Oreochromis niloticus: one gene and its partner. The protein of the gene in region 2 purifies or fractionates together with the protein of the main gene of each other region. This does not show direct contact. Links are inferred from orthologs where the notes say so. Each region holds a gene or a part of one and is shown on either strand. Other genes may lie near its edges. The genes, in order: ubl4a and get3.

The links.
Region 1: the proteins of get3 (region 2) and ubl4a purify together in Homo sapiens (affinity purification with mass spectrometry; 4 studies listed by BioGRID and IntAct, with this or other methods). This does not show direct contact. The link is inferred for Oreochromis niloticus from reciprocal best matches to the Homo sapiens genes GET3 and UBL4A.

What each region holds. Positions count from the first base shown.
Region 1 is NC_031977.2:13,690,888-13,699,866, forward strand, and holds the start of ubl4a (ubiquitin-like protein 4A), read right to left. Parts: upstream 3,599-8,979; 5' UTR 3,436-3,598; coding exon 3,388-3,435; intron 1,651-3,387; coding exon 1,545-1,650; intron 1,439-1,544; coding exon 1,200-1,438; intron 349-1,199; coding exon 241-348; 3' UTR 1-240. Other genes in the region: prkg1l (cGMP-dependent protein kinase 1), read left to right, coding at 5,271-5,460, 5,571-5,685, 5,895-6,061, 6,434-6,547, 7,871-7,976, 8,137-8,257, 8,380-8,457, 8,636-8,730 and 1 more. UniProt on the Homo sapiens protein: As part of a cytosolic protein quality control complex, the BAG6/BAT3 complex, maintains misfolded and hydrophobic patches-containing proteins in a soluble state and participates in their proper delivery to the endoplasmic reticulum or alternatively can promote their sorting to the proteasome where they undergo degradation.
Region 2 is NC_031971.2:34,349,209-34,357,967, reverse strand, and holds the start of get3 (ATPase GET3), read left to right. Parts: upstream 1-4,841; 5' UTR 4,842-4,872; coding exon 4,873-5,015; intron 5,016-5,937; coding exon 5,938-6,085; intron 6,086-6,538; coding exon 6,539-6,687; intron 6,688-6,782; coding exon 6,783-6,933; intron 6,934-7,104; coding exon 7,105-7,212; intron 7,213-8,170; coding exon 8,171-8,368; intron 8,369-8,458; coding exon 8,459-8,587; 3' UTR 8,588-8,759. Other genes in the region: target of Myb protein 1, read left to right, coding at 1,326-1,416, 1,505-1,564, 1,665-1,704, 1,791-1,936; noggin-2-like, read left to right, coding at 2,798-3,649.

The DNA of each region.
Region 1 (8,979 bases), on a different chromosome or scaffold from region 2:
GGTTACTGTGCCACCAATGACAAGGGCCAATTCCAAGATGCCAAGTTTTCTCATCCAAGATAAGAAAGCCCTATTGCTGAGACAAACAGTCAGTGTTATCCATGCTCACCCTGGGGCTCTCTGTAAGAAAAATGGCATTGTATTTTCCACAGCCTAACACTCTAAACACCGTATGCATCTCAAAGCACTGAGCGTCTCTCAAACAACAATCGGAAAAAATCAGCTTCAAGCTATGCATTCTTAGTCCATGTATGAGGTGTCCATGCCCTCGCCCTCCGGATGAAGCAACCTCCCCGCTAAGCGCTCAATGTCATCGAGGCTAAGCTGTCGAAGGGAACGTTCATAGTCCTTGAGAAAAGAAAGAAAGCAAAAAAAAAACATATTGAAAAACAGCAGGTTAAAAACATTTCAGTTCATTTATTTACAACACGTTCTGGCTGAGAAATAATGCATGGAGGACTGGAGGCATGACCTTCAGAAACATTTTTGTTGCTTTTAAAAGGAGTTTGTTAAGTCCAAAAAGTGTGGACGTAAGTGGAGGTAAGCTAATTTGCACTTTTGGCAGTTTGTTTTGTAATGCTGTTTGCACGCAAATAATTCAACAATTTCAGGATAACAACAGAATTTGGCAGCAAAAGGCCAAACCAGATTTTGCTTCATCCCCCCCCCAACCCTTCAAATACACACACACACACGTCTGGCTACTACTGGTCTGGGTTGTTCAATTAATTATTTAGCCCAGCATAATTAGTGGCTCCATAGTTTAGTGGTTTACATATTTGCCTAACAAGCGAAAGGAGGAGACATGAATCCCTTTGGGGTTGCGTTGGGAAGGCATGCAGAGCTACCTGCTGTGGCAACGCCTCGTGAATGAGGGAGCAGCTGAATGTAGCTTCTAATTAGTGAGCACAGTTGGATGGATAGGAGCTGAACAACTAACAAACTCAAGAGCTGTCAGTACACCCACTTTCTACAGTAAAAACAGTTCTCATTAAAAGATAAAAGCATTATACAAATATTGTAGTAATTATTAATAATAGATTTCCAGAAATTAAATCAGTATCTCACCATTAGCACTACATGTTCATAAATCATCAATAACTGGCCCTTTCAACTTTAATATTTTAGATTTATTAAATATCCGCACCTGTCAACTTGTCTGAAGAAAAAAAAAAAAAAATGACGCTGCATTTAAATACCTTAATAAGCTGTTCATGAACTTTTGCTGCATCTGCCGGACTAAAGTGTCTAGCAAGTATAGTGGAGACGGTCTGCCACACTCCTCCATGTGTGCTGCTTCCGCTGCTGGTGCTGCTACAGCTACCACCACCGCCTGGTGCTGCTGTTCCTGAAGCTGCAGTCCTCTCTCCCATGGGACGGATTACCAGATTCAATTTAGCCTCAGGACCAATAGAGTAATCACTCAGTCTGTGTTCATCTGAGGGAGAGTGTTACAATGTGTTGCATTAAAAATTTACATATGACGCATGCATAAAAGTATTAACAAATGCTGCCATCAAACATGTCGCTGTTGGCACATCTACCTGCGAGAGCTTTCCCTTTGTAGAGTAACCGTTGCTGGTTTGCTGGTATGTTGAGACGTTCAGACACAAGCTCCTTCACTGTGGAGACCTTTTCGTCTTCAGTCACCTGGAAGAAAAACAACCCAATCATGTAGTACATGTGTAATTTAAGAGCATGACACTGTTTTCTGTCTGTGCAGCTGAACAGTGTTTAAATTACACAGCACACAGTGCTGTAAAAGAGTAATTGCCCTATTCTTGATTTCTTGTTTTTTGGCATATTTGGAACAAAACAACACACACACGCACACACACAAAGGCCTGTCTCACATTTGCCAAAAAGCATCTTGATGATCCCCAGAACCTTTTGGAAATATTTTTTAGACTGACAAGAAAAATCTGGACTTTTTGAAGAGTTTGAGTTCTGTGTTACATCTGGTGTAAAACTAACAGCATTTCATAAAAAGAACATCACACCAGCAGTCAAACACAGTGGAGGTAGTGTGATGGTGTAGGGCTGCTTTGCTGTTTCGGGACCTGGAAGACTTCCTGTAATTCATGGAACCATGAATTCTGCTCCATCCTTCAGGAGCCACTAGTTTGTCCTCTAACACTCAAATGCCCTTGGGTTATGCAACAGGATAGTGACCAAAAACACAGCAGCAATCTGCCCTTGAATGGCTCAATAACTAACATAAAAGTTTTAGAGTTCCCTTGTCAAAGTCCAGACTTAAATTCAATTAAAATATTTCGGGATGACTTTTAACAGTACACTGAAACTGGAAAACCCTGCAATGAGGCTGAGTTAGGACAATATTGTAAAGGACAGTGGACCAAGATTCCCTCCACAGCAACATGAAAGTCACATTGCCAGTTTGATTGCAGTTCTTGCTGCCAGGTGTGGCACAACCAATTATTCGGTTTAGGGGGCAATTCCTTTTTCACACTGGGTGAGCTTTGGAAAGTTTGTTCCTTGATAAATTAAGTTATCATTTAAAAATCTTTCTCAAATAACTCCTACCTTTACATTATCCAGATATTAATGTTAAATATATGTACAAGTGACATTCCCGGTTTGTACTGGCATTTGTAGAGCCCCATTTCTCAAAAAAAAAAAAAAAAAGTGTACTCTTGCTAACATTTTAAACGAAATGGCTGTAATCACTGTTATGGCACAGATGTTGTGCATGGAACCACTTCTCTGCTGAACACAGAATTTTTAAACGATTTTAGAAATACTTCCCCACTTGGGGAAATACTTCCCCACGTAATAAAATGCTTTTGACTGCCTGCATATTTCCTTAAAACCTGGTCATGTTAAAATAGTGGCTGCCACACGCTAATATTCTCTTTAATTCAGGGGCCTTTGCTTATGTCTCCAAGTAAAGGTCCAGTTTGTGCTTTATAATATTTAAAAAAAAATTAGCTTTGTGAGAGACAGACTGTGGCTAAGGCTAACTGACAGCTATATTGGTCTTACTGCACCAAAAGCTGTTTCCCTCAGATAGGACTTCCCTTTTTTTTCTTTCCCCGAAACCACAAAGACCGACTTCAAATGCTACTAGTCAGCTGTTGTCAGGGAAGATTGTATGCAACATCTTATCCAGGATTTAGCTAGCACGCCAGCCAAATTAATGACTCTGCGGAGACATGCCCATACAACCGACTAGTTTAGGCTACAGTGTGTAGCACTGAATCCCAGTATTTTTGACAGGCTATTTTATTATTTTAAAAGAAACATATGTGTGGCCGTTTTTCTGAAGGTAGCTCGGCATGTGACATGCCAATGCTGGCCCGACTAAACTACTAGCTGCTATCGCAGTTAGCATGAGGCGGTGAGCTAGCGCAGCGGTACTTCACTCACCTGTACGCTGCACTCTTTTCCTTGAAGCGGTTTCACCGTGAGGATCATTTTTGAATATGCTTTAAAAAAACAAAAAAATTACACAACAATAAAGATGAAGTAACAAAACGTCTCGGAGTGTGCTGCTTCACAGTACAGCTACTTTATCAGCTCGCGATTCTTTGCTTGCCAACGGCCCATTTTCTTCTCCCGCATCCCACTACCGCCGCGCGCTGGCCGGAGTGTGGCATGGCAGCTACGCCAGCCCTCAGAGGAAAGTGTCATAACAACAAAAACAAAGAATAATCCATTTATTTTCTCCTAATTATGCCGCAGTTGAATATTAAAAGGAAAAAAAAGGATGGGAAAACTCAAAAAAAGGCTTACAGATTTGACTTATAACGCGGCTATTAGTAATATTATCAACAATGGTACACTAGGGCTAGTTTTTTTTCTTCATTTTTTCATTTTTGTGTGTGTTTAAATAACACGCACGGAAATTGTGTTTAAATAAAGTGGACTAACGCTGCATGGCTCTAGCGTGTTTTTACTAGTGTCGTGATGAACGCAGTAACTTATTACTGATTTTCCTATTAATGGCTAACATTATTGCAACATTATAGAGCTGTTACCATAACTTATCATCACATGTAGTTTGAAACTGTTGTTATCGGAAAACCACTTGCCGTCCAATTGCAGAGGAACATTTATTTTGTTACTTTACGCACCTACATCAAATACATATCAAGCCTTTTACTGAGAGAAAAAAAAACATGATATAAGGTAAAATTATATTTGGATGGCTGCACAGCTGCTATGGAGAGAAAACGAATAAATCTTTGATCGGTGCACACGGCCAGCCTTTAACCTGCTTCATGATCGGTTGGGCATACAATCATTAACATGCATTGCACAGTTTGCCGGATCCCCACCTACTCCCAAGGCTCCGGAACACCCTGAGGACCCCGTGACCCAGATGGGATCCGATCCACACGTTTCTCATCTCACCCTCCCCGCATGGTTTCCACCGTGTGGGTCATGTGATTGCCTGCTGTCTGTGCCCAGCCCCGGCCAGCCGCGAGCAAGAAAGAAGAGCATCCTTCAGCTGGGCACTTACAGACGGGATGTGCACCTGTCGAGTGAACAGTCTGCAGCCAAACCAGGCCAAAACACGCCGGTGAAATAGACCCCATAACGCCATACAGGCTGCGTGTGGTAAGTGATGTTTGTGTTCATTTGTTTGTTTGTTTGTTTATGGTGTGAAATATCGCACAGCATTAATACAGTTTGCGGATACAGCCTCATCTGTGCTAACAGACAGTCAATTAGAAACATGACAGCTAAAATCAGCAAAGATTAAAAAAACAGAAAAAATCATCGTGAAAGCATCAGCCACGCCTAACAGTCACATGGAAAATCCAATGTTATTTTCATGTTTTTATTCCTGTTAGGACTTTTGTGTGGGACTCAGTAGGAAGTTTGTACTAACATTTACTGTGTAAGCATTTCATTTCTACTTTCTTTGTATTTTCTCTTAATGTGGCTTGAATTATGTATAGAGATGCAGAACAACAGACTAGAGCTAATGCTTGCAATGTGGGGCTATACCTTACCTGTGACTCATTTGCAGTGAACATTAATGTGCTCGTAAACATATGAACACTCGTATAGGTGTGAAAATGTACAAGAAGCCCAAAACAGGTGGATCTATGCTCTTATCCAGGTAGAAGCCATTACACCTGGACAGATTAGCTAAATAATAAAGAGAGGTGTAGATCAAAATCATACAGAGGTCAAGTTTGTTGTAGATAGATCCACGCTGCATAGCAGCTGTAGGAATGTATATACTCTATGGATGGCTCTTTGTCAAAAGCATAGATGAAGTCTGCTAGTGTTTGCAGGTGATGGGTACACTTCGGGACCTCCAGTTTGCCTTGCAACTAAAGATTGAGGAGCTTCGCCAGAGGGACACGCTGATAGATGAGCTGGAGCTTGAGCTGGACACGAAGGATGAACTCATCCGGAGGCTGCAGGAAGAACTAGACCGCTACAGAACCACTGTCTCCCTCCCAGGAGCCTCTGCAGTCAGTGCATGTAGGCAGTTTTGTGCTGTTTTAATAATTGCAGAGCTTATTAGGACTGATATAGAGTTCTATTTGATTTCCTTGACTTTTTTATTCTTTATTTTTTTGCTTCTACCTCAGGTCAAACTGATGACAACAAGAGACCCAGAAGGCAGACGGTGATTTGTGAGCCCCTCACTCTGGACCCAGTGACTCTCGCCTTGGTTTCACAGAGAAGCTGTGACAAAAGCCACGAGTAAGAGCACACAGTGTTCCCTTCAGAGCTACACCTGCTCAGATTGAAAAATCACACTCATGCATGTTCAAGGCTCACTGACTGCTGACTGCATGACTCATGATGAACCAATGCTTTTTTTTTATTCATTGTCAGACGCTCAAGTATTTGACACTGTTTAATAACTCATCCTCACGTGCAAATTTCATATCGTTTCCTCATGTCCTCAGGTCCCAGAGGCTGATTCGGGCATCATTTCTGAGAAACGACTTGCTGAAGCACCTTGATGAAGGAGAAATCAGAGCCATCATCGCCTGCATGCATTCCACCACCATCAATCAAGGCTGCTATGTTATTCAGGAGGGGACCGCTGGGGCTCAGGCTTACGTTTTGGAAGGTAAATCCTTTTTTCCTCTTGCAATGGCCGCTATTAATCACACACGAGGATATTTATTAAGGCTTCCTTGAGATGTCAGATGCTTAAGGACAGACTGATTAAATGATGAGCTTGATCATATCTTTATATTAAAATTTTTGTACTGATAAATAGAAGCAAATAGAAGTGCAATAAAGTGACAGCATGTGGAGCAACACATTTCTAGTTTGGGTTGAAATGTCAGCTTGAGCCCGAGGAGACGGAGCGGCTGTTTATCTCCGGTCTCCTTGCCTTTCTGTTGTTTGTGCTGTACATCTCTCTCAGTCTGTACATTATCTGACATAAAACGCATTTCTCTGCGTCGTCCTTCACCCAGTGTTTGTTTATTCGCAGAAGGGAGGCTGGAAATGATGAAAGATGGACTGAAGCTGCTCACAGTTGAACCAGAAGACTTGTTTGGAGAGCTAGCGCTCCTTTACAACTGCACCCACACCTACTCTGTGTCAGGTAAATCAAAGCTTTGCATCGGCTTCCTTATTTTATAATTGCGCTCAGATGTCACAGGAGAGCTGTCAACCTGAAGAATTTCTCTGTGATTAACTTTGATTCGGCGAGGATATAAATAATTCTAGTTTAAGCGAATTTCGCAAGCGGTAAGATTTCTGGCTGTGGCCTCGGACAAAAGATGCCTGTTGAATTCAAAATCAAAAGACCCTCTGAGATCTTACAACAGCTTCGCATGGCTTTCTAACGGATGTGAGGAATTTAAAGCATCCTCGGCTTTTTCCGCTTAACACGGCTGCCTGAAGCGCCACATCTCCTCCCTACAATCCAGCATCTCAGCATCTTGCAAACATTTAAAAATAATCTTCTTGTAAACGATCTCGATTCAATGACCGCTGCGTTACAACCTCTCATCTGTGCTTTTCTGGTGTAAAAACATGATTTTTTTTCCCTCTTAAAAGCAGAAACTGTGCTATCATTTCCTTTGAGGATCCGATCACAGAGTCCTGTGGGAAAACCTTTTCAGTCGTGGCTGCGTGTGTCTGACCTGGTTTCACAAATAAATAGGCTGTGAAAATGGCCGGATCAGTTTAAATTGAAAAATCTGTCTGTTTTGTCTTGTTTGGTCCCAAAAGCATCCCATTCCTCCCCTTTTTTTAAAAACTCCTTTCGTTATCCTGTAACCAGGCAGCCTTTCCAATTCACTGTTCTACATTTGTCTGCTCTCTGGTAACAAAACTCGCTGCTCCCCCTTGTTCCATGTACCCTCTTTTTTTCAATCCATTTAAGGCCTGTTGCATTTATCTCCTTCCTGACCTGAAATTACTTTTCTTCCCATCATACCTGGCGTAGGAGATTGAATTAAGGACCAATGGCTGTACGCCGTGTGTCATACGATGGTAAAGCGACAAAGTTTGGTTTGTATCCAAAAACGGGGAACTGAGATAAGGACTGCACCGCAATAATCAGATGCTCGATCTTATTAGACTGTCTGGAGGGGACGTCGTCTTCCGTTTGCAGGAAGGTTCAGTGAATCAATCAATACTGGTCATTATTAATTAACGACACTCTCTTTCAAGCTCTATTACAAAGAAAGATGGTGATGATGGCTGAAGGAAATTAGATTTGATTGATATCTACTGACCTCTGTGAGGAAAACAAGTATTTTTAGTTTTTACGATACACGGTAAGCATTTCTAATGAAATCCTGGCCTACTTACTGGCTGCACGTCCACATCCATCACAGGCAGCGTGAGTCTCGATAGTGCTTTCACTCGTCTGTCACTGACACAGCGTCTTCCTCTGTCTCTGTCTTTTGATCTGCAGCACGAACGGACAGCAGGCTGTGGGTTGTGGATCGCAACAGCTACCAGACCATACTCATGCAGAGTGGTCTCAAGCACCTTTCCCATTCAGTGGAGCTTCTTAGCAGGTGAAAATCAGACTGATGCACATGAAGCAGCTCCAAAAAGCTGCTTTGATGGGCCATGTAGGCTTTTACCTCTGAGCACGGTATCTGCTCATTGTCCTCATGCACCTACATGAGCTATTGCGGATGATATCCAGTGCTTTTTGTTTGTATCTGTGTGCAGCATTCCCTTCCTCCAGTCGCTCCCAGCAGATGTCCTCATGAAAATGTCGGATCTCATGGAAGAGGTACACTTGAAGTTATTTAACTGTGAAGCACACTGGTGTATCCAGCTAATGGATGAGGTGAATGTTTACATGCAGTGCCTGTATAAGTGCAAGGAAAGCTCTCTGGATGAACCCTTCTTTGTTTTATTGATGTTTTTCCACTGGTCACACCGCTGTCGGTTTTCATTTGTCTTCCACAGACACATTACGCCGACGGCGACTACATCATTCGACAAGGGGCCACAGGAGACACTTTTTATATCATCAGCAAAGGCCAGGTAAAGTTTTCTGCTCTCATCCTGCTGCGCAGATCAAGGGGGGCTTTCTGAGGAAAAGATTTACAGCCTGGATGACAGAAATGTCAAAGCAGTGGCGGAAATGACTTTATGATGGTGATAATTTACTTTGGTGCGTTGCGCTCATCACCATTACCTCTTTTTTCATTACATTTGACAGGTGAAAGTGACTGAAAAGGGGCAAGAGCAGGAAGAACAGGTAGTTCTTTCTAAGCTCTCTGAGAGACAGTGGTTTGGAGAAAAGGCTCTGTGGGGGTAAGAAGGAAAAAAAGCTCCTTCAGATGATGCTGTAAAGAAATTTCTGCACATATAATGAAAAAGCACATTCATATATATATATATATATGTATATTGATAGTCTTATTGATAGTTTTATTTTGTAATACTTGCTTGTCTTCAGAGAGGACATTCGGACTGTGAGTGTGATAGCTGCTGGAGAAGTTACGTGCCTGGTAATAGACAGAGAGTAAGTGATTCAGCTGTCACACTGCTCTCTGATTTGAA
Region 2 (8,759 bases):
CAGCAGACCTTGTCACCATTTATATTTAACAACTAGTAAATGATTTATAGCAGCAGTCCCCAACCCTTTTTGCACAATGGACCGGTTTAATGTCAAACAATATCTTCACGGACCGGCCTTTAAGGTGTCGCGGATAAATACAACAAAATAAAATGATACGACCAAGACAAAAACTGTGGTATTTTGTAAATATAATAATAAACGCGAATTCGCTGTGTAATTGTGTAACTGTATTAGCAGCGTCCTCCTGAAATGCGCCAACAAGACTGAGAGTAACATCCTCCTCTCTGCCCCTTAATGCTCTCTGGTCGCTATGGTAACATGTATATATTTCTTTCAAAATAAGACACACAACTACAAAACGGGAAAAGACTCAGGGAAACCGAGTTAAGGCCGCAAGCAGGGGTGACATGGGCCACAAGCGGCCCCTGGGCCGCGAGTTTGAAACCCCTGACTCAGAGGAGCCCATCTGGTACCAGCAGCCATGCATTGTTTAAAGTCACTTAAGTCCCCTTTCTCCACCGTTCTGATGCTCGGTTTGAACTTCAGCCCACTTGTCTACACGCGTAAATGCACTGGGTTGCTGCTATGTGATTGGCTGATTAATCAGAATCAGAATCAGAATACTTTATTGATCCCTAGGAGAAATTATTTTTGGTTACAGTGCTCCAGTATAAACAAACAGTAACAAAGACAGACAATACACTAAGTAAGAATAGCACAATATATACATACATATATATACATAAAAGTCACTTATTAATAAATAGCTGAAAAAGGAAGAACATGTGCAAAAAGGGTGTAGCTATTGCAGTAAACAGTGTGTTAAGTGGATGAGTTGTACAGGGAGATGGCCACAGGCAGGAATGATTTCCTGTGTCGTTCAGTGGTGCTTTTCGGTAATCTCAGTCTCTCACTGAACGTGCTCCTGTGACTGACCAGCATGTCATGGAGTGGGTGGGAGGTGTCATCCAACATTGTCTTTATCTTGGACAACATCCGCCTCTCCGACACCACCTTAAGTGAGTCCAGCTCCATCCCCACAACATTACTGGCCTTACGGATCAGTTTATCGAGTCTGTTGGCATCTGCGACCCTCAGCCTGCTCCCCCAGCATGGAACAGCATAGAGGATTGCACTGGCCACAACAGACTCATAGAAAATCCTGAGCATTTTCTGGCAGATGTTGAAGGACCTCAGTCTCTGCCAGAAACATTTAGACATTTACAATAACGAGCAGTTGAACAGGTGTACCTAACAAAGTGTCTGAGTGTATTTTTTATGTACTGTATATGCCTGATCTGTGTGTGGTTGTGTGTGTTCAGTGTTAGGTATGAAGATCCAGGAGCTGTGGAGGGCCTGGCTGGAGCTCTTGATACCAGGCTGCAGGTCACAGGAGGAGGGTGTACAGCAGCAGTAAGATGCAGCTGGTTTTTGTTTGGAGTAATATCCCTGTTTTAATATTACAAATAAATAAAACTCAGGGTCATTTAATTTCTTTTAGATTCCACCAGCGAAAAACTCTATGCAGAATGATGTTGACAAATGGTTATCTTCTGATGTGGTAAGAGAACACGTGTATATATATATATATATATATGTATAGTAAAAACAGGGTGATAACAGCATGACTTAATCTTTATTCTTTGTGTACGTAAAAACAGGAAGAGCAGTCTTCAGTTTGCGAGGGAGTTTCCAGTGAAGGTATGTCTGGTCCTGTCACTTCTTTTGAGTAATGATAATATTTTCAGACACACACAAATATTAAATTATACGTGTCACCATTTCAGAGTTTGATAAGTTCCTGGAGGATCGGGCGAAGGCGGCAGACTACAGCAGCCAGACGATTCTCAATGTGCCATCTTCCACACCCAGACGGCCACCACAATCTAGCCAGCAACAGGATACCTCACATGATCATCTTTTCTCACTCTGAGTGTGTGAATAAGCAAGACGACAGGATGGAGGTCAACACAGGAGCATCACAAACTGAAATATGGTTACATTCACACGTATAGTGTGCCAGGTCGGGTTTTTTCTAAAGGACACACGCACGCGCACACACACACACACACACACACACACACACACACACACACATAGATGAAACCTGACACTACAGAACTGCTAATCAATCAGCTTGTTTCATAAATGCTGTATTTCTCCGTTAATTCTGCTGTTTGTTATCTTTATGTGCTTATACAATTTTATGTGACTGTATTTATATGTAATATTATAACATGGGAGAAAACTGGATGTTTAGTATAATGCAGAAAATATACTTGATATTACACCAAATGTGCCTTTGATCCATAATGCTGATTTTGTGTAGATGAGAATAAATGGGACATTTGCCCCATGAACATTTTTCATGTGGTCTCTTTTTAAAATATTTTACTCCTTAGTCCAGTGATTTACACACCAACTTTATCCAATGAATATTTCATTGATAACCCATTTAAAGTTGGCACTTTGCAAAAGATGTTGAAGTGTGGAAATTTTGGTACGTGACATCTTGCATTAAACCAAATTTCACCATAGTTGTCTTATATTCAGATTGTAAGTTAGTCAAAATATCAGAGTCTTGGGAACTCAAGTGTGCCATACTAAATAGTGTGCAGCTTGTGTGATAAGACACTGAATTCAGTATGTTGTTGTTTAAGAGCCCAAGGATGTCTGGTGTTGGGTACACAGAGTCCCGGAAGCACCTAGAATTGAAAGCATAACTAAACGGCTGAAAGGAAAAGCTAAAAGAGCAATTTTTCATTCTTTGAGCTACAGTCCAGATCTGAAGACCATGTGTGGGCAGTTTGCCATTTGTCTCTGCTGGATTTTGCTATCTTTCCTCCTGGATGTATCTCTGGCCTTTATTTCCAACATTTCAACTCAAAATCAGCATCCAAATGTGACTGTTGCTCAAGACCAGGATGGCACAGGCTGGGATTCACGATTTCATCAGCTGAGAGCCAGTCTTCCATCCTTCTCACACCCAATCCGTCCATACACCCTCATCACAAATGCTGACGACTACCACTACATGCCCAAAGTCAGACATCGCCGGCCTTCTCTCCTCCTGCGTCTTCTGGGATCCTCGTTTGACCCATTTTGGATGTCTGTAGATCGCCCTTCTGAGTCCCCCCAGGGAGTTCGGCCCACCCTCACCACCTTCAAAGAGAAATTTAACCTGTGTGTGTCTCCAGAACTGAGAAAGGCTTCAGCAAAACATCAGCAGAAACTAGAGAAGGAGGCTGCAGAACTGGACCTCAGTTCTCTGCCATCAGATGCTGCCAGTTCAGTCAGAGAATGGCTGGTGCACTCAGCAACATGCAAATTACAGCACCAGTGGGTTGATCTGGGCCCAACCTTCTGGCCACGGTGGCTGCGGCAGACTGACTGTGAAGGGCCAGATGGAGGGCAAAGTTGCTCCTTTCCCAGTGGGATGAACTGCGTGCGAGCTCAAACAACACACATAAAGATTCTGGCTTGGCACTGCATTGAAATCAGAGATGGAGATGATGGCTCCAGAAAATTGAGAGGTGAAAAGCCTGATGGCAGTGCTCAGATGGGGACAGATGAAGCAAGGAAAAGATGTTTATGGAGACAAGTGCCTTATCCTGTGGTGACTGCATGCATGTGTTCATGTAAATGAATGTTTTTATCACTGCAGACCGGCTTTTTTCTGTGCACACTGTGTTTTTTATTATTTTGTTGATTTTCAGTGTTATAGTTGAAATGATCGAACATGGCTACTTTTAATTACAAAGACAATGCCGCTACCTGCTCTTTCATTTTCTCTGCTCTAAACTTTCAACATTTTTATTACAAACTGGTTTAATAAATATTTAAGTAAATATTTTACGTCAGTAAACTGCAATTTCTAAGGCGCTGAGTTTAGTGTAGTTCGTGCTACATTCAGGTTTATTGGAAATTCGTGGATTGTGCATGTTTCTTCCAATTTTTCTTTTTCGCTCTATTTTTGCAATTTCATATTCAAACAGTATCAAACAATTTTGTTTACAGGGAATATTAAAAATTAAAGTGTTTTTGGTAACTCACTGTTGTGTTTGATTGATTGATCATACTTGACAGTATTAATTGAAGATACATACTAATCATTCTAAATAATAAAAATCTACATAAACCTGTTTCTTGCTGACTTCCTTGCAAACTATTCTAACGTACACATGCGCATGAATATAATATGAATAAAATATAAGTGTCAGCACCTATGTGATTCCTTGTCTTCTTCTGTCAAAAATTAATAGTGTCTTCTACGGAAGCGTAGAGCTGCCACCCAGGCAAAAGAAAAATAGAAGTATATCACGTTATAACGTGAAAAGTTTATTGTTCTAACAAGATACTTTTCATGTTTGTACAATATACTATCATGTTTGTACAATATACTTTTCACGTTTGAACAATATAATATCACGTTATTACAATATGCATAAATATCACGTTCGTACAATATATTTATATTGTTCGTACAATATATTTATATTGTACGAACGTGATATTTATATTGTACGAACGTGATAATTATGCATATTGTAATAACGTGATATTATATTGTTCAAACGTCAAAAGTATATTGTACAAACATGATAGTATATTGTACAAATGTGAAAAGTATCTTGTTAGAACAATAAACTTTTCACATTATAACGTGATATACTTCTTTTTTTCTTTTGCCTGGGTGGCAGCTCTACGCTTCCGTAGTCTTCAGTATTAAAACTACCAAATGTACAACCCACCCTGCAGCAGTGTGAAACCTTGCGTGGGTCAAAACTCCGAGGAGCAGTGAATGCATCAACTGTGGATACGTCTTTGCGTAACTCCTGAGCTGTACGTCGCTGACTGTACACATACAAGATGGCAGCTTTGGTGGAAGACGAATTTGAAGATGCGCCCGATGTGGAGCCGTTAGAACCAACTCTGAAGAATATCATCGAGCAGAAATCTTTGAAATGGATATTTGTGGGTGGGAAGGGTGGCGTTGGTAAAACGACATGTAGGTAAGTTCATTAAAAATGCTAAATTGCCTCCGGATACTGACTCGGTTTGAGCGGCTGGCTAGCATTAGCCGTTACCATAAGTTGACGTGGATCATTGTCCGAAAATGAATTGCGTGGGTAATTTTTCCCACGGCGAGATTAGACTGGTGTTAAATTTCTACCTAAATACGCGCTGGCATCAAAGAAAAGTGACTGTTATGTTTTAGATTTGAGTAAGGAGTCCTTTCGCCGGGCAGTTTGGTAGCTGTGAAGCGCAGTCAGCAGCTAACGTTAGCAGCTGACACATGGATTCACGACTTTCTCAACACCTTCAGTAATCACCGTATAAGCCACCATCAATAACCCGCTGCTGATATTATCAGTTCTTTTACTTCACCCAGAGTTAAAGGAGACTCCAGAGTTAGGCTGTCAAGCCCTTATTATCATATCTTTATTCATAACAAGAAGAAAAAAAATATGAATAAATACGATTCCAAATGAACGTGGATCTAGTCTGTCTGCAGTGGACTTATTTCAAACAAGATAACCAACAAAAATCTAATTAACGTGTCAAACAAATATGTACATTACACCAGAGCAGCCACGATAATATTGCACATAGATTAACCACTGTCGCATCCGCTATCACTTAAGTTACAGTATCTACTGTGTTTCATTTGGAATATAATTGCATGCAAAAGTTGTGTTCATCAAAGTAACTGGGGTAAGGTAATGTTCACAAAGTGGAAATGAATTAGATTTTTACTTTGTGCTTTACACGGCATGCATGCACATAAACGATTAAGAATTAAAAACGTTGCGGATCGCATTGTTAGTCAGTTGCACAGCATTTCTTACATGCTTACATTGGGCACGAAATAATCTTAACAGGCTCCAGGCTCTTTAAACATAAACCTGTCCTCTTTCCATGTCCTTCTGACAGCTGTAGTTTGGCTGTCCAGCTGGCGGCTGTTCGGGAGAGTGTGCTCATCATTTCCACAGATCCTGCCCATAACATCTCTGATGCTTTTGACCAGAAGTTCTCAAAGGTACCCACTAAGGTTAAGGGCTATGACAACCTCTTTGCAATGGTGAGTATATGTGTACACTTAACAGCTATTAAAGGTTACAAGTGAGAGGTGTTGCTTGATGAGATTAAAAATTGAACTCAAATGTTTGCAAATATATATTTTTTGAGAAGCATGTTATTAATAATATTAATAACATTGATGAAGTTTCTGAAACGACAATGAGCAAGCATCCACAGTACAAGGATTTTCTTATCCACATTTTCATCCTTGCATCATATTAAAGTCTAACGTTTAGACAGAGTTTAAAAAGCACAGAGGGTTTGTTCATTCTGTTTTTGGAAAATAACATTTAGTGCATGAGATCACCATCTTTTCAGAGTCATGAGGCTAGCCAGTTCCACATGTGAGTCTCACAAGCACCATTGTGTAACAAACTCAATCACTGGAGGGCATAAAAACATTTGCAATCTATTTGAAGTGTGCTGATCTTAGAATTTGGGCATGTGTATACAGGAGATTGACCCGAGCCTGGGTGTGGCAGAGCTGCCTGATGAGTTCTTCGAGGAGGACAACATGCTCAGCATGGGCAAGAAGATGATGCAGGAAGCCATGAGCGCCTTCCCCGGCATCGATGAGGCTATGAGCTATGCAGAGGTCATGAGGTAGTTTTGTATTTGAGTTTTCCTGCAGCATGTCTGAAGTTTTAAGGACAGTTAGTGGGTGTTATACTTACCACTGTTGTTTGCCTGTATCTCAGATTAGTGAAGGGAATGAACTTCTCAGTGGTGGTCTTTGACACTGCCCCTACTGGCCACACACTGCGACTGCTTAACTTTCCCACCATAGTGGAGCGAGGTCTAGGCCGCCTCATGCAGATCAAGAACCAGATTAGCCCTTTCATCTCTCAGGTGGGTGCTGAGATGAGCAAATCAGTTCAAACCATTTTCAGGATTCTGCACATAAAATATGATCTCTGATTAAATATATGCACTTTGTTGGCCTTTCTCTTTCTCCAGTGTTTTCTCTTTCTCTCTTCTCTTGTTTTCACTCACACTGTCCATCTCTTTTGCTGTTTCTAGATGTGTAATATGCTTGGTCTGGGTGATATGAACGCAGACCAGCTGGCCTCAAAGCTTGAAGAAACCCTGCCAGTCATTCGCTCAGTTAGTGAGCAGTTCAAAGACCCTGTAAGTCACATTTGTATATTCTTATACAACTTTGAGATTTATATAGTACTAGCTTACTATTGATTTGATGATTGAGGGGAGAATTCACTGCCTTTTAACAGGAAGAGCCCTCTCTGGTGGAGATCAGGTTAAGGGAGGGTGCTCCTCTCTGATTTTATTATGTATATAAAAATATGTGTTTTCTAGTACTCTCACATTTGGGGTCAACTGAAAGCTTTTCAGAGAGCTTTTAGAACAACTTGATAAAAGAAAATTACAGTCGTCTAGCCTAAAAATAATAATGATGCCTGGTTGGTTTTTTTTTTCTTTTTTTTTTCCTTTTTTCTCTTCAGCCAGTTCCTAATTTTGGCAGTATTGTACAGATGAAACAGATGCAACATCATTGTCAATTAAAGATGTAATTGCTTTAATGGTTATAGTCTCCACCCACCCATGATGAATAAGCCTTTTCACACTACACTTCAGTCATATACTGTTCTAATGAGGTGCTGTGGTAGCTACATGCACACCCTCTGTAACAAGTCTTATCTGATGACAGAAGAAATTGTAGCTGGTTCGAGTGTCAATAGTGTGTGTGGATACAAAAGAGTTTTTGGAGTGACTCACTGTGCACAGCAGCCTGTTGCACATGCATGTATCCCTCTTATCAAGCCCTCTTTATACTATTTTGTCATTAGGACAAAAGAAGTTTCGACAACAGTTTCACCTTTTTATTATTTTTTTTGAAGTTGTAACTCCACCCCTGTTGAGCCCTAGTAGCTGGTCTGTTTTACTTGATTGCTTTAGATTTTGTTATTCCTTTTGATTTTGTTCTTTGATGGGAACTCATCAGCCTGTTTAGACAAAATATTTAATATAAAAAACGAATTCAGTATTTGGAGCAAATTTGAGCTTCATCTTGTCATATTAATGGTTTTTATGTATGTGTGTTGTAACGCACCTTCCTCTCACCCTTCAGGAGCAGACCACCTTCATCTGTGTGTGTATTGCTGAATTTCTGTCACTTTATGAGACAGAGCGGCTGATTCAGGAACTGGCTAAGTGCCGCATCGACACGCACAACATCATTGTCAACCAGCTCGTTTTTCCTGATGCAGACAGGCCGTGTAAAATGTGTGAAGCCCGCCATAAAATTCAGTCGAAATATTTAGACCAGGTATGAATCAGGAGAAATGGGAAAGTTTATTTACAATATTTACAGTTCAAAGTCAAACAACTTTATTGGTGGTTTGTCTTCTGCCCACAGATGGAAGATCTTTACGAGGATTTCCACATAGTCAAGTTACCTCTACTCCCCCATGAAGTTCGAGGTGCCGACAAGGTCAACACGTTCTCTAAGCAACTTCTGGAACCCTACAAACCCCCAAACAAGTGATGTCCTGCCCCCTCGCAGGGCCGCCTCCTCTCCCCTCATTCTACAGACAACAGCTTTGCAGTCTGAGTTATCCTCCTCTGAGCTCCATCCCCAGCAAGCCTCAAATCCTGCAGCAACAGCCTCAAGATGATCCATTCAGTCCTCACCCTGGTATCTTCAGCACAGTACGGTT